Cricetulus griseus: one gene and its partners. The protein of the gene in region 1 purifies or fractionates together with the protein of each later gene. This does not show direct contact. Links are inferred from orthologs where the notes say so. Each region holds a gene or a part of one and is shown in the gene's direction. Other genes may lie near its edges.

Region 1 (4,685 bases):
CTCTGGCCTCCATGGGCTCCCCCCAAAGACAGAATAAGGATAAAACAAACCCAAAAGCATAGAGCTAGAGTAATTGCAAGATAGAATGCTTGCTATGACACATGAGGCCCTGGGTTCTCTCCCCAGCACTGTGGAGCCAAGGAAGCATAGGTAGCTAGCTTCCCTTGGTGTCTACTCAGAATTGGTCCAAGATATTTCCTCACCCAGATACAACTTTTATATTGTGTCCAGGCCTTCAGTATTATGGAGTTGAAATGGTCAGGTACTTGCATTTTAGATGTTTTTACTCTTTTGGGGGGCCGCTACCCAGCTCATAAATAAATCACACACACAAAGCCTCTGGTCTTATTCCTTTTCTTCTGTATTCTTGCTTCACTCCATGGCTGGCACCTTCTTTGTTCTCCCCTTCTCTAGTTCCTTGATCTTCCTCTAATCTTCTTTTTATTCTCTCCCCCTGCCAGCTTGGCTTATTTCTCCCTCCTGCCTTGCTGTTGGCCATTCAGCTCTTAATTAGACCAATCAGGTGTTTTGGATAAGCAAAGTAACACAGCTTCACAGAGTTAAGCAAATGCAGCATAAAAGAATACAACACACATTCGGGAGGCAGAGGCAGGCGGATCTCTGAGTTTGAGACCTGCCTGGGCTACAAGAGCTAGTTCCAGGACAGCCTCCAAAGCCACAGAGAAACCCTGTCTCAAAAAACCAAAAAACAAACAAACAAACAAACAAGAGAGAATACAACACATCTTTGCTTCATTAAACAAATGTTCCAATGCTTAAATCATGTAACACATGTTAATTGTCCACAACATAGCATATAATCCTGGATTCATTCCCCAGCACAACATAAAACTGAGTGTGTTGGTGCTTGCCTGTCATCCCAGCACTCGGCAGCTGTAGGCAGGAGGATCAGAAGTTTAAGGCCACCTTCACCTACAGAGTAAATTGAAGTTCAGTATGGGCTGGTGCGATGGTGAAATGTTTAAGAGCATTGGCTCTTTTCCAAAGGACCCAGGTTTGAATCTCCACATGCACTGTGGTATTCACAACCACCTGAATTCCGTCTTGGGGAATCAGATACTCTCTTTTGGCCTCTTTGGACACCAGGCATATGTGAGGTATATAGACATACATGCAGGCAAAACACTCATAGAATAAGAAAATAATGAAATTTGAAATTAGAAATAAATTTTATAATAAAAATGATTTTTGAGTTGTCATGTCTACATAGAATGTAAGGATACTGAAACATGAATAATAAAAACCCAGAGAAGCAAAGCAGCCAAGCCAACAGAGAGCTCTGCTGCACTGCTCCTCACCACATCTCAGACTGCTCCTGAGACTGCACTGGGCTCCTTAGAGTCTCTCTAGAGCCGGGATTAAAGGCCTGAGCTCTGTTTCTCTTTTAGACTGATTCACTCTCTTGTAGCCCAGGGTGGCCTTGAACTCACAGAGATCCATCTGCCTCTGTATTGAGTCTTGGAATTAAAGGTGTGTGCCACCACTGCCCAGTTTCCATGGCTGAGGCTAGCTTTGCATTCTGATTTCCAGGCAGGCTTTATTAGCTCATAAACAACGTATCACCACAGGATACCCTCCCATATATCTTTAAATAATCTCCAAATTACTTACAAGACCTAATTCCATGTAAGGAGTTATTAAGGCTATGTCTAGGAACAATGATGAGGAGGGAAGTCCATAAATGCCTACTAAAGTTGTGGTCTGCTGTTAGTTGGATCCTCAGGTGTGGCCCACTTTGAGTTCTGCTATAAGAAACCAGTTTCATAACCATGGAGTTATGAAATGTAATGTCCCGTGGAAGAGTAGTGGTGGCTGTGTTTTACCATTTACATTTGTGATACTGTTGAGGAAGAAGCTACAAGTCAGGTGTGCATGAACATTCAGGAACTTGGTAAACTGAAATCACTGGAGCAGTGGTGTTGGCACAGACACACAGAAGGCCCAAGGGACATAAGCATAGGACCTTACTAGGAACTCTCCCTCAGAGTTCTTACTGAGGCTGGAGCAGAACTTTCAAGTAGAGTAGCTAGTGTACTCAGGATCTGAGTAAGATGAGAAAAACATAAAATATAAAAATGTTCAAATGGAAAGTAGAGGCTGTTTTTGACCTTTGATATTTAAAGTGAAGCAAGAACAAATCATAAAAGATCAGGATTTATTAGACCACATTAAATCAAATACATTGATTCATTTCGGAGTCTATATAAAGGAGCAGTAGAGCTTGCTCGGAGTTCGAAATGCCCTGTGTGCTGCTCCTACCACTACCTTCCAAAAACATTCAGTTAGAAAATTTAAAAGGACCATTTGACATAGGGTTGTATTTTTTTGTTCTAATAGTTGACAAATATGAAATGTACTTTTGTAAGTTTGAAGCTAAGGTCGATTTAGAAACTTGCTGGGAATAATGCCCCAATTTTCAGCTTGAGTTCTTGTTCTTTTTTTTCTGAATTCCTTATACCATTTGAACCTAAATTAAACATGGCCATATAGGACAGTATTTGTTCTGAACCAGTGGGACCTGTTGCTAGCTTCTACTCTGTTGTTCTTGTCTCTCCAGATCTTTTTGTAAGGGTTTTTAATTAATTTTGCTTTTGTTTTAAATTAAGAACAAAAACAACTTTTTTAATTAAAGAAATGACATTGTTCAAAATCCATTGGTAGAAATACTCATTTTAGTCACTAATGTTTTATTTCTACTACCTCTAGAAAAGCTTGTGGTAATGCATACCTGTAATCTCAACACCAAGCTGAGGCAGAAGGATTGCAAGTCCAAGGCCTATGTGGCTACATAGAACACTCAAATAAATAAAGCACAATAATCAAGCCCTTAGAAAGTTCCCAGAATACATAAGTGTACCTTCTTCATGTTCTGAGCACATACCTGGGAGTAGATAGAGGCGTTTCTTGCCACAGTCCCATACATGTGCACACAACACCCCACACACACCCCACACTGCCCAGCACCTCCTGAAGACTAGGTGTTTTTCTTCTTGCAGATCTGGGACACAGCTGGTCAAGAACGGTTCCAGTCTCTTGGTGTGGCCTTCTACAGAGGTGCAGATTGCTGTGTTCTGGTGTTTGATGTGACTGCCCCTAACACATTCAAAACCCTTGACAGCTGGAGAGACGAGTTTCTTATCCAAGCCAGCCCCCGGGATCCTGAGAACTTTCCTTTTGTTGTATTGGGAAACAAGATTGACCTTGAAAACAGACAAGTAAGTGCTAACATGGGAGTTAACATTCACAGGCCCCTCCTCCTCTGGTACCTTGAGTTTGGAGGGTTCTCTTCCAGACTCAGAATACTTTGGGAAGGTGCTGGTGGGAGTACTTGTCACCAGCTGACCCCAGCCAGCTTTGATGTGGGGCTGTCTTTTTCTCAGAGCCTCAATTCCCTTCCTGTCCCTTAAAGGAAGGAATTGATTTTCTCACTTCAGGATGGAAGAATGCTGTGGGCCTTGAGTCGTGTTGCTCAGCTGTGATTTCACACAGCATTTCTGTTGGAACATGTTGTGTTGTTGTTGTTGTTGTTGTTGTTGTTGTTTTGTTGTTGTTTTTTTTTTTTTGGTTTTTCAAGACAGGGTTTCTCTGTGAAGCTTTAGAGCCTATCCTGGCACTCGCTCTGGAGACCAGACTGGTCTTGAACTCACAGAGATCCTCCTGCCTCTGCCTCCCAAGTGCTGGGATTAAAGGCATGCGCCACCAACACCCGGCACGGTTTTGTTAATTTTTAGGTCAGCTTATTTCTGACTATCTCTTCCCCTTTCCAGATTTTGTCTCTGTTTCTTGGCTGGGGCAAGGGAAGGAAAGATCTAAGGGTGAGCGCTGCAAAATCCGTGCCACTTGCCATTTCTTTAGGTGGCTCAAGATGAGCAAGTGGAAAGGGGTATATACCAGAGATTGTCATGGACCCACCTTCCACCTCCTGGGATTGGCTCCTGGCCTGTGGCACACTGCTAAGGGCCATAAGGTCTGGCTGTGGACCAAAATAGCTCAAGCTTGGATCCCTCACATGGACAACAGAGTGACCCGACCTTTGGGTCTATAGGCCACACTCATCCTCACCCCCAGATCTGTTCTCACCAGTGTACTTGTCTTGGAGCTGTTCATGGCAGTAATGTCCTCCCTCCTGTAGGTGGCCACAAAGAGGGCACAGGCTTGGTGCTACAGCAAAAACAACATTCCCTACTTTGAGACCAGTGCCAAGGAAGCCATCAATGTGGAGCAGGCCTTCCAGACAATTGCTCGGAATGCCCTTAAACAGGTGGGTGCAGGGCTCTGCAGCTGCAGGCACACTCTGGTGATGTCCTGTGTTCTTTCCTAGATGTTTTTCTTCCCAAGCTGCACCTGGGAAAACGTAAGGTGCTTCTCCAGATGGGTAGGTCATAACATATTCTGCCTCCGTCCTTAGGAGATCACAGCTTTGTTAGTCATCTAAAAGACAGGGCAGAGCTAGGGTATGGCTTGGTGATAAAACACTTACCTAAGATACAGAGCCTTCCAGGCAGCCTGGTCTCAGACATGGAAGACCTTGGGGGAACAAAACAGACACATGGTGAAAGAGGTGTGGGCTTGTTTGCTCCTGGACTTTTAGGAGATCAAGCCACCTGAGGCCTCTTGCCAAGCAATGCTTCTAGTTAATGAGATGAACTTCAGTCAGATCCCAG
Region 2 (4,685 bases), on another chromosome or scaffold:
ATATTTAAAATAGCATTTAAAATTCAACTCCAAGATTAAAATCTTTGCTTCAAAGGACACTATTCATAAAGTGTTGAGGGAAAGATGAAAAGATACAGTCCACAAAAAAAGAGAAGGTATTATCTCTGATAAAGGTCTAGTAGCTAAAATATATAGAAAACTACTTCAACCCAGCAATTAAAAGATAATCTGGGGGCTTGGAGATGGCTGTTCAGTAGTGTGTGCTGGCATAAAGCCCTGAGTTTAGATCTCCAGAACCCACGTAAAAGCCAGTCCTGGCAGCCTATGTCTGTAATCCCAGGGGGGAGGGTAAGGGCTGACAAATCCTCAGAGTTCATTGATCAGGTAGCCCATGAATTGATGAGCTTAGGTTCAATAAGAGACCTATAAGAATAATGTATAGAATGACTAAGACACTCACCATTGACCTCTTGCCTCCACACACGTGGGCACTCACCTACATATACTGACACATATAAGCACACACACCACACATAAAAACAGGTTGTACAGTGGACAAAAGATTTCTCCAAAAAAGATACACAGATGACCAATAAGCACACAAAGTAATTCGTATTACTGTTAGACCCGGAGAAATGTAAAGGAAAGCCTCGGTCAGGTGCTACTTCACGCCATTTGGGTGGCTGTAATCAGAATGACAATAGCAAGTGTCGTTGTTAGTGTAAAATAGTGGTTACTTGGGCAAACAACTTAGTGTTTCATAGAAAACTTAAATAGAGCTTTTAGGGTTTTTTTATTTCTTTTCTTTTTGGTGTTGGGGATGAAATACAAGATCCCACAAATGGAGGCATTGCTCTACCCCAGCCTGTCATAGGGAGCATAGGTTTTGTGTGATTTAACAATTCTTTGGCTTTTCAGGCAGGTTTTACTTTGTAGTTTAGGTTGACCTGCAACTTACTATCAAGATGGCCTCCAAACTCACATGAAAGTCCTCAGCTTTTAAGTGTCAGGACTGCAAGCCTGTGCCATCGGGCCAACTCTGTGTCTTATCAATTCTAGACCTGGAAGCATGTCTGCATAAAAAGGTGAAGACAAGCATTCAGAGCAGCACTATTCTCAAAAAGTGGGAACAAGCCAGGTGTTCATTTTCTTATGAATGACCAGATAAAGCATGGTATACTTGATTGTAAAAAGGAATTAAATACTGATATGTGCTATAATATAGATAAAACTTGAAAAAATGCCAAGTCAAAGAATCTATACTCAAAGTCACATGTTGTATGTTTCCACTTCTTTGAAATATCCAGAATAGATAAATCTGTACAGGCACAAAATAGATTATCCTACAGCCACTCCACCCCACTCCCAGCCACTGATACACACTTTCCTTCAGTGGTGTTAAAATGTTCTAAAATTAGCTAATGGTAAACGTTGCACCATTCTCTGAGTATACTAAAAACCACTGTGCTTTACTTCCTTTTCCAGAACTTTCTACATTTCATTAACTTTAAATCTTCAGTTCAAAGAAATTCAGTGAACTCTAGACAGAATAAATACAATAAAACCATCAGGTTTTGGTATTGTTTGTTTAGGAATATACCTATGATTAAAGTGATGATAAAAATATAAATAGAATGCTAGAAAGATGGCCCAGCAGTTAAGGACACTCACTGCTCTTTTTTTTCTCCCTTCCTTCCCTCCTTCCTTTTTTTCCTTTTTTTTTTTTTTTTTTGAAACAGTCACTCTATGTAACCTGGCTGTCCTAGAACTCACTCTGTAGACCAGCCTGGCCTCAAACTCAGAGGTCACCTGCCTCTGCCTCCCACATGCTGGAATTAAAGTCATGTACTATCATTGCCAGGCCACATTTTCTGCTTTTGTGTATACTATCTACTAAGCTCATTTAGTATTGCTCTTTTGCATATGGGAATGGATAGCCTATTAGTGCTCATCCCTGTAGAAGACTGATTCTCCTCTCAACAGCCATTGTAAATAAATCTTTTTTGTTTGTTTGATTTGAGACAGAGTCTCACTGTGTAGCCCTGGCTTCAAGAAATCTGCTTCTGCCTCCTGAGTGTTGAGATTAAAATGTGTGCCACCATGCTCAGTGTCAATAAATTTTTAGAAAAATTAGTGAAAGTAAAAGTTACTAAAATTCAGGAATGTGTTACTTCTGGGCAGGACCAAAACCAACAACAGAAAGAACACCCCCCACCCCCCCACCCCCGGGAAGTTTGTAGTTTAAATGGGAGAATTTAATGTGAATTATAATTTGTTAATTGATTTTTTTAAATTCAACTTTCCAAAGAACACTTACTATTCAGACTAAGTCAAAATAAAAGTGAAATGTTTATCTATAACTTAACACATGCTGCAAACCAGTTTTTTGCAGTTCTATCTAGTTCTTTGCTAGCACTAATATGACTTTAATACACTCATAATTATGATTATATACATGTTATGCTAAATTTCTACAACCCTTGATGTACATTTTGTAATTCGTACCTTCTATATGTGTACCAGGCACAGTGGCAACTGTTGGGGACACAGGGAGAAATGAAACCCAATTTCTACCCTCAGTCAGTGGCCCTTGCTGGGCTTGATGGTTCACATAATCTCTGAATTTGAGGCCAGTCTGGTTTACAAAGTGAGTCCAAGGCAGCCAGGCCTACAGAAACCCTTTATCAGAAAATAATAATAATAACAACAACAACAGATCTCTGAATTTGAGGTTAGCCCGGTCTACAGAATGAGTTCCAGGACAGCCAGTTCTACAGAAACCCTTTCTCAAAATAAATAAATAAATAAATAAATAAATAAATAAATATGAAAGAAGAAGCAATGTCCCAGGGTTATAGATCACAAAACATTGTTTCCACTTAATCTTTAGGGAATTGAGGCTCAGAGAGGTTAAGCAAAGTGTCTGCAAACAGAGCTGGTACTGCCTTTGGCTCTAGGCCTGGGCCCTTAGCTAATGTAATTAGGCATCTGTGGTCTTGACCTTTACCCCCACTGTGTTGGGGGTCTAACCGGGGGCTTGTGCCTGCTAAGTATACTCTTTAGCATTTGAGCCACACCCCCTAATTCTTTCTTGGGTTTTGCGTTGAAGAAATATTCTCTGCCTCTTTAGCTTATCTCTGCAGAATGCCCCTGAACTGCGATAGCTGTGATTACATGGATCTGGTATCTAAATATAAGACTAAAGTTTCATTAAAAAATAAATAAATAAATAAATAAATAAATAAATAAATAAATAAAGATGGGGGTTGAGAGATGCTTCTGTGGTTAAAAGCTCTTGTTTTTAAAGAGGACCTGGGTTCAATTCTTAGCATCACAACCATCTGTAACTCCAGTTTCAGGGGATTTGATAGCCTCTTCTAACCTCAGACACCAAGCACTCATGTGGTACACATACATACATGTCAGCCAAACACTCATACATAAAATAAAATTAATAAATCTGATTTTTAAAAACTATGTGCAAAACCATTTCTCTGTGTGCTGGATCTTCACTTGCCATAGTAGCTAGCTTTGCAGGAGTCTTGGGTTCTCTATAAAGGTGTGTATGTGGTTACACACATTGAAAAACAGGCCATGGACTACATTCTACAGACTTCATATAGGATTTACCCCTAAAGTCTGACTGTGCGTTTGATTGACTCCACTTAGGTCATCAAGAAGAAGCTAGTGGGATCTGTGAAGGCCCTGCAGAAGCAGCATGTGTCTCTGGACACAGTGGTCACCAGTGAAGATGGAGATGCCAACACCATGTGCAGTGCCCTGGAGGCCGTGTTTATCCACGGCCTACATGCCAAGCACATCCGTGCCGAGGCGGGAGGAAAAAGGAAGAAGCACACGCATCAGAAGCCTCTGCCTCAGCCTGTTTTCTGGCCCCTTCTGAAGGCTGTCACCCACAAGTGAGAGGGTTGGCATCAGGGAAGGGCTTCAAGTGCGGGGCACTCGACTCTCTTGAGGATGGCAAAGCCAGAAAACAGTGTTCTAGTGTAGGCAGTGTGTGAGGTAGGGCTGGAGGCAGCCTTATAGAAAAGCTTATCTCCAGACCTTGAGACACTCCACACTCATTAAGAGCCTGTGGCTGCTCCTCACCCCGGCACTGTTGACCTTTGACTACGGTAGGCTGAGTCATGTATTACATTGTGAGGCTTGAAAAGACCAAAATGTTCTCTGGTCCTTTTAACAGGACCAGGGTTTGCTGACCTTGCCTTTGACTAATTTTTCTATCATCTAAATTTAATTTAAAAAAATTTTTGTGTATGAGTGTTTCCCCACTCATACATTCATATCTATACATACCATGTATGTGCCTGGTGCAGGGCACACACGCCAAAAGAGGGTGCCAGATCCCCTGGGACTGGAGCTAGAGGTGACCAAGCCACCATGTGGGTGTTGGGAATCAGACTTGGGTCCCTGCAAAAGTAGCCAGTGCTGTTAACCAGTGAGCCATTTCTCCATTTCTTGTTTTAAACTTTATACTCATACTGAATTGTGTCAGGCATTTAGCTAAGAAGCCAAATAGTGGCTGAATATTCACCCCAAGCTCTAACAGCTAAGTGTGGGACCCTTTGTCCTACATAGTCTGATCAATTGATTGTCAGGGCCCCATCTATTATTGCCTGGCTTTGTGACCTAACCAGCCACCCTCCACCTGTTGTAATGGGAGCTCTCCCAGTCTCCTGATAGGTCTGCTACTTTTCTGCCCATTG
Region 3 (4,685 bases), on another chromosome or scaffold:
TTTAAATGTAACATGAATAATGGGTATATATCTGCAGAATAGTCATGTCTTTGCTCTCTATTCTTTGAAGGCTTTGGGTTGGTAAAGCTGGATGTGAAAACAAAGTCATGCAGCGGTGTGGTAAGTGTCTAATAAGTTCTTGTAACTCTTTTAATTTTATTTTAAGATTTATTTATTTAATGTATAGAATGTTCTGTCTTCATGTATGCCTACAAGCCAGAAGAGGGCATTGGGTCTCATTATGGTTGTGAGCCACCATGTATTTGCTGGGGGTTTGAACCAGGGTCCTCTGGAAGAGTAGTCAATGCTCTTAACCTCTGAGCCATCTCTCCAGCCCCTAATTTCTTAGCCTATAAATGTCTATAGTTGTTTTGCCTTAAGGAGGCAGAAGTTAATTTGTTTTGAGTGATTTGCATGTAATCTGATTTATTAGCTTTGGATATTTCTGCTTTTCATGTAGTTTTGTTATATTTGTGTGTGTGTGTGTGTGTGTGTGTGTGTGTGTGTGTTACTATGATTGTACAAAGAAGTGGGGAAAGACATTGGTTATTTGGGACTATTTACTCAGGTAGATTACAAGCTTGAAGGCCAGAAGCTTATAATCCACGCCCTTGTAACTTTCTCCTAATACCTGCCAAGGTATTCTGGGCTTAATAGTAACTTGTTTATTTGACCATACTGGTCATTTAATATAATGGCTATATTCTAACAGTCATCCATGGAGATGTCTACATACCTCTGTCCTGACCTGAATATTGCTTATGCGTTTATCCTCCCCAGTTGTTGAAACAAGGGATAAAGTAAAATATTGTATGCTTTTTTTTCTTTCTCTAATAATTTTTGTTTTGAGATTCAGAGATGGTTGTATTGTGTACATGCTAAACTATGATTATTGGGCACTGTGATAAATGCATGTTCTGAATATAACTAGTATTAAAGTTGTTCCTGGTAGGGATTCTTAATGGTCAGACCTGTTGCATTTATGGGGTTTTATATTGTTCTGTCCTGTGGTTTCCTTGGTTTGCAAAGAAGCTAAATATTTGGTGATGGTTGACTTGGCTGGGTTAAGAGTTTACAGAATATTAGTTAGCTGATTGCTGGAGATTGAAACTAGAGCCTTGTAGTTCTACTACTAATCTCTATTTTCATCCTACCAGGTTTTAAATATGTTTGTGCAGGTGTGTTACATTAAAATAAGTACCCCATCCTTGTTTTTAAAAAGCTTACTTTTAGACTGGGAGTATAACTTAGTGGTAAAAGGCTTACCCAGTTGTGTATGAGGTCCAGTGCGGAAAACAAACAAAACACCCCCTTCTAGTTACAAAGACAAACTTTAAGCTGAGAACAATTGGAGAACTGTATTGAGCACTAGATTTATAGATTTATAAGCAAAACATCCTTTTTTTCCTCCTGCCTCCCTAGTGCTGGGATTAACAGTGTGCACCACTACCACCACCACCACCACCACCACCACCACCACCACCACCACCCAGTGGCCCTTTTCTTTCTTGAATTGCAGAGATGTTCAGGCTACCCCAAAATGTAGAAGAAGTTCATAGTGATGGAGTGAATTGCTTTATTGTTGGTTTCATCTGTTCCAGTTTGACCTACAGACTAATACTGACCTTGTTTCTTGGGTATTTGTTGGCATTCATTAGACTAGCCCTTGATCTCAGGGACTGATGGGTGGTAGTAGCTGGAGCTTGGCAGTTTCTGATTTTAACTCTGCAGGTATCATAACTTCTGATAAACTTAAAACAAAATTTACATCAATTTTAGACATGGCTTTCCAGTGACTAGGTATGGAGACACTGATACAGAAACCCTAGGTCAGAACTCTTGACAGGCTTCTGGAAGGTTACATTTTATCTTGGGACACGTCCCTCACATGCAGTGAGTGCTTCATAAAGACAGATCCTCTGTGCTCCCTTTTTACCACAAGGGATTGGCAGATATATTCTATACAAATCCATGATTAAAACTTTTCTTAAAGATTTATTTTTAATTAAAGATGTTTTTATTTCACATGTATGAGTGTTTGCCTGTATGTCTGTTTGCCTGGTGCCTGTGGTGTCAGTTTTCCTAGAACTGGAGTTATAGATGGTTATAACTTGCCATGTGGATGCTGGGAACCAAATTTGGGTCCTCTGTAAGAGCAGCAAGTGTGTTTACTCACTGGCTGCTTTTCCGGTTCAAGGCTAAGCTTTCTATAGTACTTCCGAATTAATTCTGTTTTTTTTTTTTTTTTTTTTTTTTCCTGCTGACACATAGTTTATATTATTTATGATAAAACCCAAGAAGCTCCCCTACTCCACTTTTTTTTCCTCTTTTTTTGAGACAGGGTTTCTCTGTAGCTTTGGAGGCTGTCCGGGAACTTGCTCAGTAGACCAGGCTGGCCTTGAACTCACAGAGATCCGCCTGTCTCTGCCTCCTGAGTGCTGGAATTAAAGGCATGCACCACCACTGCCAGGCTAAAAAACTTATTTTTATTTTATGTGTATGGTTGTTTTTTTGCCTGCATGCGTATCTGTACCATGTGTGTGCAGTACCCACAGAGGCCAGAAGAGGGTGGTGGATACTCTGAATTGGAGTTACAGACTGTTAGTTGCCTTGTGGGTGCTAGCAATCAAACCTGAGTCCTCTGCAAGAGGAACAGCTCCTCTTAACTACTGAGAGCCATCTCTCCTGTCCCACGAAAATACTGTGAGTTGGGTGAGGTGTGGCAACACACACCTTTAATCCCAGCACTAGGGAGGCAGAGGAAGGCAGATCAGGCCGGCCTGGTCTATAAAGGACAGCCAGGGCCACATAATTGAGACAGACAACAACAAACAGCAAAAAGAAGATAGGTAAGTTGTTTGGAAGGGCATGGAACCTAGTGAAGACTCATTTCAGAAAAGTAGAGGGAGGACTGGAGAGATAGATGGTTCAGCATAAGCGTGGGTGCCCCTCTTGTAGAGGCCCTTCCTAACCACCCACATGACGGCTCACAGCCACCTGTAACTTCAGCGGCAGGGAAGTCAGACGACTCTGGTCTTTAGGACATCTGCACTGAATATTCATTCACATACATATGCAAATGAAAAATTCTTTAAAAAGGAAAAAAGAAGGAATATTGGGATAGTTGAGCCCAGATTTTACTTAAAATTTTTCACATCTTGTGTGTGTCATGGTGTAGATGTGGAGGTGAGAGGACAGCTTGGAAGACTCAACTCCTCTTCCTACCATGTGGGCTTTAGAGACGGAAGTTAGGTTGTCAGGCTTGGTTAAACCCAGTGAGCCATCTCACCAGCCCCGTGCGCTTAATCTTTATTGATTAGTTAGAAATGTAAGATGGCATTCTAGTGAGGTCAGTCAGTCCGTCAGGCTAATTTGTCACTGTTGAGTTTGCTTAGGAAGTAGCACAGTGTGAAGTTAGAAGTGTCAAATAAGTTAGGCAGTGGATTGTTCCAGGCTTAGCAGACATTCATGAAGTTGTTTATTGTCTTCTTAGGAATTTTCAACATCTGGTTCATCTAATACGGACACTGGTAAAGTCAGTGGGACCTTGGAGACCAAATATAAATGGTGTGAGTATGGTCTGACTTTCACAGAAAAATGGAACACCGATAACACTCTGGGGACAGAGATTGCAATTGAAGATCAGGTAGTGTTTCATAGACTTGCTTTTGTGTCCTTTTTGCATTTCAAAAAGGAAATAAAATGGAACATAAATCTTATATGCTCTTTTTCTCCCAAAATAGATATGCCAAGGTTTGAAGCTGACGTTTGATACTACCTTTTCACCAAACACAGGGTAAGCACTTATGTTTTTACAGGCACTGAACCTGAAGCAGTCTTGTCTGCTCAGAAGAGAAGCAGCTTCCTCCCTTTCAGTAGTTCACTGCGGAGGCCACTATCTGCTTTTGAACACTGCTTGCCACCATTGACTTTCTTCAGAAATTGGCCTCTTCTAGTGCTAATTGTGTCCTATCTTTTGCGACTGTTAGTTTTACAAAGCACTTTTCCTATGATGGGACAGTCCTGTCACCCCATGTGGGTTTGTTTTCTTTAACTTTTTGGTTGTTTTTAACGCTAAAATTGTCATACTGTGGCTTGTTTAAATCCGTCTCATGCTCACCAGGTAGAGCTAGGTATATAAACTTTGTCACTGGTATCAGTTTCAAACCAGTCTCTCCTTTTTTCAGAAAGAAAAGTGGTAAAATCAAGTCTGCTTACAAGAGGGAGTGTATAAACCTTGGCTGTGATGTTGACTTTGATTTTGCTGGACCTGCCATCCATGGCTCAGCTGTCTTTGGTTACGAGGGCTGGCTTGCTGGGTACCAGATGACCTTTGACAGTGCCAAGTCAAAGCTGACTAGGAGTAACTTTGCAGTGGGCTACAGGACTGGGGACTTCCAACTACATACTAATGTGTAAGTATTTCTCTATAGGCTTTCAGGGTGGTATCTGATGTCATTTCTTAGATCTATTTTTAATTTAAAGGGTATCTGACATGTGGTAGTTCTAAGTGCTCCTCAGTAGCATATAGTGTAGACACTCGAGAGCATGCTCACATCAACAGGGGTTGAGGTGCTTTAGAAGAGAGAGAGGGGTTAGACCAGTGCTTTCTGTGTGTGACTTGATAACCAGGCATGTGTGGGGTCCTGGTTTAATAGGATTATCTTAGCATGTCCAGTCAGGTG
Region 4 (5,115 bases), on another chromosome or scaffold:
CAGCACCCCTCTGCCTTGTCCCACAGGCTTTCACTGACCTATGAACCACTCTTTGGTGCAATGGTGACATTCAAGTAAGTTCTGGTGGTTGAAGTGTGGCTTGGCTGGTATGTCTCCATTGTCTTCTGTTCATCTGACAATCTCTGCTACCCTCACCTCCCAGGTTCATTCTGGCTAGTCGCTTCTACCCAGTGTCTGCCCGATACTGGTTTACTATGGAACGACTTGAAATCCACAGCAATGGCTCTGTTTCCCATTTCAATGTTTCCCAAGTCACGGGACCCAGCATCTATTCTTTCCACTGTGAGTATGTCAGCAGTCTGAGCAAGAAAGGCAATCTCCTTGTGACCAACGTGCCCTCACTCTGGCAGATGACTCTTCAGGACTTCCAGGTATTAAAGGGGGAATGGGCTCCAAGCTGGTGGCAGTAGGGGGAGGGAAGAAGAGCCCAGAGAATTTCAGTATGGCTTGAGCATGTAGCTGAGAGTTCCATCCTTATGCTGTCTCTGAAGGTCTAGACTGTTCACTGATTCCAGAACCCCAGCCCTTGTTGTCTGTAGAAACTTGTGGTCCCTTCTGATCCATGTCTATGTGTCTCCTAGATCCAGGCCTTCAATGTGACGGGTGAGCAGTTCTCCTATGCTAGCGACTGTGCTGGCTTCTTCTCTCCAGGCATCTGGATGGGGCTGCTCACCACCCTCTTCATGCTTTTCATCTTCACCTATGGCCTGCACATGATACTCAGCCTCAAGACCATGGATCGTTTTGACGACCACAAGGGCCCCACCATCACTTTGACACAGATTGTGTGACCTGTGCCAGAGAGAGATTGAGGGAGTGTTGGTGTCTAGGTTGTCATGTTTGCATCTTGTGGCATAGTGGATAGAAAGTTTTTTTTCTCTTCGATAGCATGAACCCTGCAGTACCCTCAGCCTGTCTTGCTTCCTCTTCAACCTACTGAGGGACTGGCTTCCCTGGGGCTATCCCCCATCTCTACCAACAAAGTGTATATATTCTTCATAGATATTAGACAAATCTTCCAGGCTCCATCATCATGAGGGGAAGGAACATTAATTCTAGGGTTCCCTTTCTCCCTTTCCCCCTTATTTATTCTTGCCCCTCCGCTACTTGCTGTTTATAGTGCTTCTGTGTAATTAATGCTCACTCCCCAAGCTTTATGAATCTTCCAGCAACAGCAATAAACTTGAGGTTCCTTGAGTTTGAGATGTATGGAAAGACTACTTAACTGTCTGTCCAGCTTGGCTGTTGTGTTTTTTGGGTGACATGTTAAGAATGATCTGTACACTGGGGTTTATTTCTGTAGCCTGAGAAAGAAGAGACCTCCACAAGGCTTATTCCCACTAGGATTGTCTGCCAAGAGATGGGGATGGGGGTACTCTTTTTGTTTCCCTTCCTAATAAAATAAAGACGTGTTGTCATATGTGTTGGGCTTCGGCTTTGAGTCACTCATTTCTGCACTTGACAGTAGATTTGTTTTTGACTGAGGGGAAGAAGTGCCCAGGTGTAGTCCTAACAGGTGAGAGGGGAAGGGTGGGAGAGTCTTCATCAAGCTGATTGATACTCTTAACGAGTTAAGGTAGAGGCCCATTATTTCTCCTGGCCTTGGGGAGAGTCCTTACAATGAAAGATACAGGCAACTGCAAATACCACAGGGCCTTGCTGTTTCTCCCAGAGGGGCGGTATGGGATCGCGCCAGGAGGGATGGGACGGGGCGGGGCGCTCTCGGCTCCCGCGCATGGATCTTCGCGGGACGCAGCACCTGCCACGGACCCGCCCCGCCCCGCATTTCTCTGGGCTCGCGAAGATCTGCGTTGCCCCCGAAATTGTACTGGTGCGGAGACTCAGGCGCTGGAAGCCCTTCCAGAAAATAAGCGGGAGAAACGGTGGCATCGCTAGGGTGTGGCAGGGCCCGAGGAGGGAGAGGGACTCTTTGACGCGGCGGAAGGATCTGGAGACGACTGATAGCCGCCATCTTTGGTTCAGTGCGGTGGCAGCGGCGGCGGCGGCAGTGGCTGCTGTGGTGAAGGAGGAGGAGGAGCCGAGCGGGCGTTGGTACCAAGGCCTGACCATGGACGAGGAATACGATGTGATAGTACTGGGGACAGGTCTTACCGTAAGTGTCACCCTAGGCACTCATAGCCCTGTAGCATGCCTTTCCCATCCCCCGCGGTGATGCAGAGCCCTGGTCACCGGTCTCATTCTCCCATCATTGCTTTCCTGGCTCTGGTCCTGGCAAAGCCAACCCCGCTCCCACCCCACTGCCTCACCCTAGGATGTCGACTCGACGGCGCTGCCATCTTCTTGCTTCCCCGTAGAGGACCCTGTTTCAGCCTGTATCCCTGCACCCTAGGACCCCTTCATCGTCCCTATCTGTGTCACCGAGGTGGAAAACTACCCCCCCCCCGGACCGGTTGTGCCCAGCCCCCACCCTTCACCTGCTTAGCATCCTTGATTAGCATCTCTTACCATTTTGTGGTGATCACACTAGGGCATTGAGTATAAAGGTATGGGTATGGGGGCATTCCAAGGGTGGGTTCTCATCCTGCCTTTTTGCCTTTTGAGAGGGGACGGTAATTCAGGGAATGTTCCAGAAGCAGCAGTAGTGGGGGTAGTTACGACATTCCCTCTACCCCAGTCTGGTTTCCCATGGAGATCTCAGGCTGAATATATCCTCTGCCTTTGTCCTTGGGCTAGTGACAGTGATTGGTTGTTGGTTTGCACCCTGAGTCTGGACCGGTAGATAGGGCTGGAGGGTCAGGGGCTCCTGCCTTTGTAGGAGGAGCAGCCCAGGGTGGGGTCTGGGATTTCATTTGAATTGGTTCTTCTCCAGACTCGTTACCTTTTTGTGGGCTCAGAGCAGGCAGATACTTACTTGGCTTGTGGGTACTAGAAGACTGTCCTTGGGTCTGCTGGAAGCTCTGCCTCCCTAAGCCTCATTTAATGCTCTGGCATTTCACCGTCTTGCCTAACAGGGTTATAAAGGAAACATCGAATGAAGCCATTTCCCCTCTCTCCAGTTTTAGGTGCTACAAGAGGCAGGGATTTATGTTACAAAATTTATGTCGGGTTTGAGTCAGGGACAAACCAGGGATGCAGGTCAGAAGGCAGATGGGAGTGTAGCTGCAAATGCCACCCCTCCCCCAGGAATGCATCTTGTCTGGCATCATGTCTGTGAATGGAAAGAAGGTGCTGCACATGGACCGGAACCCTTACTATGGGGGTGAGAGCTCTTCCATCACACCCCTGGAAGAGGTAAGGCTTCTTGGACTTGAGCTAAGACCCAGACCCCTTTTTAGTCTCTCACATAGGGGCATGGGGGCAAAGTAGTTCCCAGGTGCTGGGCTGGAGAATGGGAGAGGGATAGGTGGTCCTTGACATTTTTCTTTCTTTCTGTCCTGTTTACAGCTATATAAACGTTTTCAGTTGCTGGAAGGGCCCCCTGAGTCAATGGGCCGGGGCCGAGACTGGAATGTTGACTTGATCCCCAAATTTCTCATGGCCAATGGTGAGGGAGATTAAGAAGATAATGTATATGGTGATTGGTGGGTGGTGGTGATTGGGAAGACCAGAGGGGAGGTTCAAGCTCCAGAATAAGGTCAGTCAGACAACTGAGAGATTTTTGAAGGGAGCTACACTGACATCCCTAATCCTCTCTGGACACAGGTCAGCTGGTAAAGATGCTGCTGTATACAGAAGTGACTCGTTATCTGGACTTCAAGGTGGTTGAGGGCAGCTTTGTATACAAGGGAGGCAAGATCTACAAAGTACCATCCACTGAGACTGAGGCCTTGGCTTCTAGTAAGTATGAGTCTCCTTAGCCAGAGAATAATGGGACAGGAGGAAGCAGACTATTCTCAAGATAGTTAGGCAAAAGGCTCCCATTTGCCTAAGCCTAATCTTAGCTCTATGTAATACCAGAGGCCCCTTGCTTTATAGTACCTTTATTGGAATGTGCTACCCATCCTGGCAAGTTACCAGAAAGGAAGCTCATTGAGGAGGATTTCTTTTTGGCAGAGGGCCTACTTGACCCCCATTGCATCCCCAAGTGGAGCTAGGAGTGCCTCTTCCTACAAATAGGAAAACTAAGGCCAAGAAGGGTGGGGCAGGGTTACATGACTGAGCTCTGGTGGGAGCCAGGACACCAACTTTCCTGGCCTGCTCTGGTGGAAAGAAGAGTTTTATGTCCCAGTAATACAAAAAGAGTCTTTTCAATACCCTTCCTTCAGATCTGATGGGCATGTTTGAAAAACGACGCTTCCGGAAATTCTTGGTGTTTGTGGCAAACTTTGATGAGAATGACCCCAAAACCTTTGAGGGTGTCGACCCCCAGACCACCAGCATGCGTGATGTCTACAGGAAGTTTGATCTGGGCCAAGATGTCATTGATTTCACTGGCCATGCCTTGGCGCTCTACCGCACTGATGAGTGAGGGGAAAGCTGGCTGGTGGCAGGAGCCCCTTTGTCTGCCTCACACTTTATCCTCCCCACACCTGCCTATTGTATCCACTGCCCACCCTGCATATCTCTTGTACTTGTCTATAAGTTCACCTGTTGCATTTCCATCCCTCTCTTCCATTTGACTCATATCTTTGCCAGGTCACAAAGGGTGGTGGGAAGGCGGATGGTGTCTTTGAAGGTGAGCAGGAGTGCTGCTGTCAAAGCATCTTCTCTTGTTCCCCAGCTACCTGGATCAGCCCTGTCTTGAGACTATTAACCGTATCAAGTTGTACAGTGAGTCCTTGGCCCGGTATGGCAAGAGCCCATATTTGTACCCACTCTATGGCCTGGGCGAGCTGCCCCAGGGCTTTGCAAGGTGAGGACCTTTTTTTCCCAAGCTGGCATTAGTGGGTATGACTAAGACCAATAAGCCTGGTGGTGGTGGCACAAGCCTTTAATCCCAGCATTTGGGAAGCAGATGCAGGCAGAGCTCTGTGAGTTCCAGGCCAAGCTGGTCTAGAGAGTGAGTTCTAGGACAGCCAAAGCTACATAGAGAAACACTCTTGAAAAACCAAAAATAAAATGAAATAAATAAAAGAATGGAAATTACCTCCTTGGGCTTTTTTTTTTTTTTCTTGAGACAGGGTTTCTCTGTAT
Region 5 (4,685 bases), about 20 Mb from region 1:
TAATCAAAGAATTTTCTATTCCTCTGGTTTTACCTGCTATTTATAATTCTCAAGTAATGGTTGGATTATTCCAAAAGTCAGTTATTTATGTTTTCTGATAAGTTAAAGTGTTTTAGAGTTGAAATGTAGCTTAGTGTCCATAAAAGTCAACTAACCATGTGGATTAGTAGAAGTGACATTTGTTATCTTGAGAATTCAGACAATAACAGTCACATCTTCAGTCTGAGCAATGTTGTATATTGAAAGGTGGTAATTATTTATGGTAGTATCCTTTTAGTATATTTGTGGTAGCAAATACTGTAATCCAGTTTCTTTCCTTTCTTCATTATTAAGCCTAAAGTTGAAACTAGATTAGGAAAAGTGCAACTCATTTTTACCATAATTTCTTTTTAACTCCTGGACTATAGGAATAATAGGGAATTTTAATTTTTCTTGTTACCCTGGTTTTCATTCTGTAATTCCTGTGAGTTTGCCTCTAGCCTGAACGTGTGAACATTTTACCCAGTTCTTGTTGACAGATCTGCTTGCCAAGTTCTGTCTATGGCTTTTCTGATGACACTTCTCAATTTTTACCTGTGTCTCTATGCATTTTACCAGTGTTAGTGCTTAAGTTGGAAACTACTTTAAAGAAAGCCACAACTTAGTTTTGTAGCCACGTGCAGTATAGTGAAATTATTATGGAGAACTCCAAATGAAGTAATGTTGACTCTGTTACTTACAGAATAATGTAAGAAGACACACTTAAAGTTTAGGAGGTCCTGAACTTTTTTTTTTTTTTTTTTTTTTGTCTTGGCATCCAAGTCTGAATGTTGCATGTTTTTGTAGATGTTACATTTGTTATTATTTTAAAGTTGTATATATCCATGATTAGAAATGTATTGGGTAGTAATTAATTATCACACTCATATTTAACCAAGTCATTGCTCAAGCAAAATTTTAGATCCAGCATTCACATATTTAGAATTTCAAGTTGGGAAGGGGCCTCAAGATTTCACAGATTGAGTTTGGGTTTGAGACTTTAGGAGTACTCTGACTCTATAACATTTGACATGCCTGTGACTGTTCTCCAATTCTGGTAGTACCTTTGTCAACGACTCCTTGTAATGTTCTTATTAAGAATTGCCTTGTTTTGATTAAAGATCTGGGACATAGGAGGACAACCCCGGTTCCGGAGCATGTGGGAGCGGTATTGCAGAGGAGTAAATGCTATTGTGTAAGTTGGTGGTGGGCTTTTTTCCCCTTCTTTTAGTCTGTCAGTTTAGTCTTGAAAGAAAAAAATTGTTTTTTAATATTTCCAAAGGTAGATTAATAATTATCTGACAGTAATTGTATTCTTTGCCAATATCTCAGTATAATTCCATTAACATGGAATTTTTTTTAAAAAATCATAGAATAAGGGCTTTGTTTATTGATTTCTTTATTCATCTGAGTGCTGTGCTGTGTGTTTTCCTGAGTATAGCATCTACTAATTAGTCTGTGAATAATGTAGTTAAAAGCATTTATTCATGCTGACGTAGGACTTAATTTCTTTTGATTAGCAGTTTCAGTATTGTAAATATTAAGAAACCTTAAGATCTATAATCCTAGTTCATTGAGATTCATAGAGATGGCATGTTGATATCTCTTTGTTTTTTAAGTTACATGATAGATGCTGCAGATCGTGAAAAGATAGAAGCCTCTCGAAATGAGCTCCATAATCTTCTAGATAAACCACAGTTACAAGGAATTCCAGTAAGTTTGGAGAATCTGGCATTTTGTATTTGCAATTATATATTTAACATTGAACCAGTGTAAAGATTAAAGTCTCTTTATTCAAGAAAACACCAGGCTAAAACACAGGCCAGAGCTAGGTTATAGAACCCAGCAAGCGCGGCCAGAACAGAAGGGGCCCGGGTCTCCACGAGCCGGTCTTTAAGAAGCCTCCCTTACGTCACCTTGGCTTTCCTAAATCACGCCCTTATGGGCGAGTCCCGGGTCCACCTGGTACCTGTCCCAGGGCGGGCCTAGGGTGTCTCCCTACAAATCAGTCTTGGTTTTAGGATCCTTATGCCCCTCAAGAATGGAGATCTGATGATTCTCAAGATCTTTTTCATTTTCTTTTTTTTTTTTTTTTTTTTTTTTTTTTTTGAGATTAAGCTTCATGATATAGCCTGGGATGGCCTCAAACTTGTTATTCTGTTGCGTCAACCTCCAAAGTGTTGGGATTATAGGAATCTGCTACCATACCTGGCTTCTCAGGTTCTTTGTGGAAAATGGTATAGTATTCACATGCAAGTTACATATTCTTCCATGAGCTTTGAATTATATTATATTTAGATTACTAACAATACTTAATACAACAGAAGTGCTTTGTAATAGTTTTTGACTGTACTGCTTAGGGAATGATAGCAAAGGGAAGACTGTACATATATTCTCAGTGAGGTTACAGCCCCCCTCCCATGTTTTTACTTAGCTTTATTTTTGTTTTTTGAGATAGATTTCTCTGTATAGCCCAGGCTGGCCTGCATCTTACTGCATAGCTAGGCTGGCCTCAAACTGGATTATCTTTCCACCTCAGTTCCCAAGCACTAGAATTAAAGTTCTGAGTCTCCTGCCTGGCTTCCCATGTGTTTTTGATGTGCAGTTGGTTGGACATGGAGCCTGTGGGTCTAGAGAGCTACTAATTATATTTGAAATTAGCAAAATGTCTTCTTTTTTTAAAGTTAGGAGTACTTTGACTCCAACATTGTGAAATTGAGCAATTGAATAGAATTTTTATCTTTCTGATTTTCTCTGCTACTTCCTCACAAATAATGAATTATTTGAAATACTTTTGTTAAGAATTGTTTGTCTCAGCTGGGCGTTGGTGGAGCACGCCTTTAATCCCAACACTCGGGAGGCAGAGGCAGGTGGATCTCTGTGAGTTCGAGACCAGCCTGGTCTACAAGAGCTAGTTCCAGGACAGCCTCCAAAGCCACAGGGAAACCCTGTCTCGAAAAAAACAAAAAAAAAAAAAAAAAAAAAAAAAAAAAAAAAAAAAAAAAGAATTGTTTGTCTCACCTGGTTGTGGTTGCTTTTGGCTATGATCCCTGGGCTGGCAAGCCTGAGGTGGGAGTATTACTGTGAATTCTCGGCCAGCATGCAAAAGTCCTATATTCATTTAAAGATGTGTGTGGGAGAATAGCCCCAGTTCTGGGGTGTGTTCTTAAAAACTGAGTCACTTTTGTCCAGTGTTTGCTGGATCCTGGATATTGTACTGTCTATAGATACCTTCACTAGACAGTCACCAAACTGTGTAGTGAGAGCAGTGCTCAGTTCTGGGGCTATGGTGATGGACAGAAGTTACCAGAATACTTCATGCCAGGGGAGAGAGACTTTTGGGGGGAAAAGCATCTAACAGTGCAGCTTTGGTAATCAGTGTTAAGACAGGGGCAGAGTCCTCAAGAGTTGCAAAGATTTATGTAGTTCAAGGTAAAGGAATAAGGCTCTCTGAGCCAGTGAAGTATGAACGGAGCTCTGAAGGACATGTGGCAGTGTGGTACAGGATGTGATGGTTGGTAAGGAATAGTTCCAGGCACAGGCCCTTTGGTGGGAGGAAGCAGTCTCCAGAACACAGAGCCTTGGGAATGGCTGGATTGGGTGACATACTGAGCTGTAGCTGGGATATTAGGGGCCACACTTACAAGATTGTGTGGAAGGCCTTTGACATGTTTTAAAGAATAGGAAGTTCTCTCTGACTCAGCTACCTCTCTCTCCTCTCTCTCTCTCTCTCTCTCTCTCTCTCTCTCTCTCTCTCTCTCTCTCCTATATTTCTATATTTCTATCAGTTCTTTTGAGAATTTCATTGTTCATGTGTGTGTCCTAGGGATTGAACTCAGGTCATTAGCCTTTCTACACTGAGCCATCTCTCAGCTCCTAGAGTATCTTAGAATATTTTAAATTCAAGTTGGCCACAGACTGAATTGCGGCTGCCTTTATTGTAGGAGCTATGCAATACTAGGATAAATTCATAAATAAAATTGGCTACCAGTCACTCAAGTATATTTTGATTTATTTATATTTCTCAAGTACACTTTATAATTAAGGTGTATGTTAACATGAAGGTAATTTTGGAATATTTATATACTACTTATGCTTCTGTGATCTTTTTTGTACATAAGATTTACCCATATTATCTTCTTTTTAAAGGTACTAGTACTTGGAAACAAGAGAGATCTTCCAAATGCCTTGGATGAGAAACAGCTAATTGAAAAAATGTAGGTCCTAAGAAGAGTAATGTTGAGAAGCTTGTTGGTAAATTATAGACTGTCCTACATTTTGTAGGCATGGTTACATTATTTATTAATGATTCTACCTTGTTCTTAGATGGATAAATTGGGGCAACCAGAGATGTAAATCTCTAAAATTTTATTAGTGGGAAAATATTCTTTTGCATAGTAATGAAAATAAGTGAAACCCAGTAAAGAGTAAGTATGACAGCTGCTGTCATTTTTTATCACTTCTGTTTCTTACAGGAACCTGTCTGCTATTCAGGATAGAGAAATTTGCTGCTATTCAATTTCTTGCAAAGAAAAGGATAATATAGGTAAGAAATGCTGTTTTTGGAAGAAACGAGTACTATTGGGAAGGATGCCATGTTTTTTCCTGTACTGTAGTGAGTGGGTTTTGTTTTCTTTTGTTTGGAAACTTTGGGAGGAGAAATAATC

Evidence for each region.
Region 2: the proteins of Rab7a (region 1) and Plekhm1 purify together in Homo sapiens (affinity purification with western blotting; 5 studies listed by BioGRID and IntAct, with this or other methods). This does not show direct contact. The link is inferred for Cricetulus griseus from reciprocal best matches to the Homo sapiens genes RAB7A and PLEKHM1.
Region 3: the proteins of Rab7a (region 1) and Vdac2 purify together in Homo sapiens (affinity purification with mass spectrometry; 3 studies listed by BioGRID and IntAct, with this or other methods). This does not show direct contact. The link is inferred for Cricetulus griseus from reciprocal best matches to the Homo sapiens genes RAB7A and VDAC2.
Region 4: the proteins of Rab7a (region 1) and Gdi1 purify together in Homo sapiens (affinity purification with mass spectrometry; 4 studies listed by BioGRID and IntAct, counting the BioPlex papers as one, with this or other methods). This does not show direct contact. The link is inferred for Cricetulus griseus from reciprocal best matches to the Homo sapiens genes RAB7A and GDI1.
Region 5: the proteins of Rab7a (region 1) and Arl8b purify together in Homo sapiens (affinity purification with mass spectrometry; 4 studies listed by BioGRID and IntAct, with this or other methods). This does not show direct contact. The link is inferred for Cricetulus griseus from reciprocal best matches to the Homo sapiens genes RAB7A and ARL8B.

The regions. Positions count from the first base shown.
Region 1 is NC_048601.1:55,314,906-55,319,590, forward strand, and holds part of Rab7a (ras-related protein Rab-7a), read left to right. Parts: intron 1-2,162; exon of another isoform or gene 2,163-3,017; coding exon 3,018-3,236; exon of another isoform or gene 3,237-4,153; coding exon 4,154-4,282; exon of another isoform or gene 4,283-4,548; intron 4,549-4,685.
Region 2 is NC_048600.1:114,749,084-114,753,768, forward strand, and holds part of Plekhm1 (pleckstrin homology domain-containing family M member 1), read left to right. Parts: intron 1-3,630; coding exon 3,631-3,878; intron 3,879-4,685. UniProt on the Homo sapiens protein: Acts as a multivalent adapter protein that regulates Rab7-dependent and HOPS complex-dependent fusion events in the endolysosomal system and couples autophagic and the endocytic trafficking pathways.
Region 3 is NW_023276807.1:199,144,496-199,149,180, reverse strand, and holds part of Vdac2 (voltage-dependent anion-selective channel protein 2), read left to right. Parts: intron 1-70; coding exon 71-120; intron 121-3,493; coding exon 3,494-3,646; intron 3,647-3,743; coding exon 3,744-3,796; intron 3,797-4,187; coding exon 4,188-4,415; intron 4,416-4,685. UniProt on the Homo sapiens protein: Non-selective voltage-gated ion channel that mediates the transport of anions and cations through the mitochondrion outer membrane and plasma membrane.
Region 4 is NC_048604.1:1,415,868-1,420,982, reverse strand, and holds the start of Gdi1 (rab GDP dissociation inhibitor alpha), read left to right. Parts: upstream 1-1,828; 5' UTR 1,829-2,089; coding exon 2,090-2,134; intron 2,135-2,293; exon of another isoform or gene 2,294-2,525; intron 2,526-3,165; coding exon 3,166-3,273; intron 3,274-3,426; coding exon 3,427-3,526; intron 3,527-3,684; coding exon 3,685-3,819; intron 3,820-4,247; coding exon 4,248-4,446; intron 4,447-4,702; coding exon 4,703-4,834; intron 4,835-5,115. Other genes in the region: Atp6ap1 (V-type proton ATPase subunit S1), read left to right, coding at 27-74, 164-392, 603-812. UniProt on the Homo sapiens protein: Regulates the GDP/GTP exchange reaction of most Rab proteins by inhibiting the dissociation of GDP from them, and the subsequent binding of GTP to them. Promotes the dissociation of GDP-bound Rab proteins from the membrane and inhibits their activation.
Region 5 is NC_048601.1:35,665,059-35,669,743, reverse strand, and holds part of Arl8b (ADP-ribosylation factor-like protein 8B), read left to right. Parts: intron 1-1,139; coding exon 1,140-1,213; intron 1,214-1,637; coding exon 1,638-1,731; intron 1,732-4,167; coding exon 4,168-4,235; intron 4,236-4,493; coding exon 4,494-4,564; intron 4,565-4,685. UniProt on the Homo sapiens protein: Small GTPase which cycles between active GTP-bound and inactive GDP-bound states.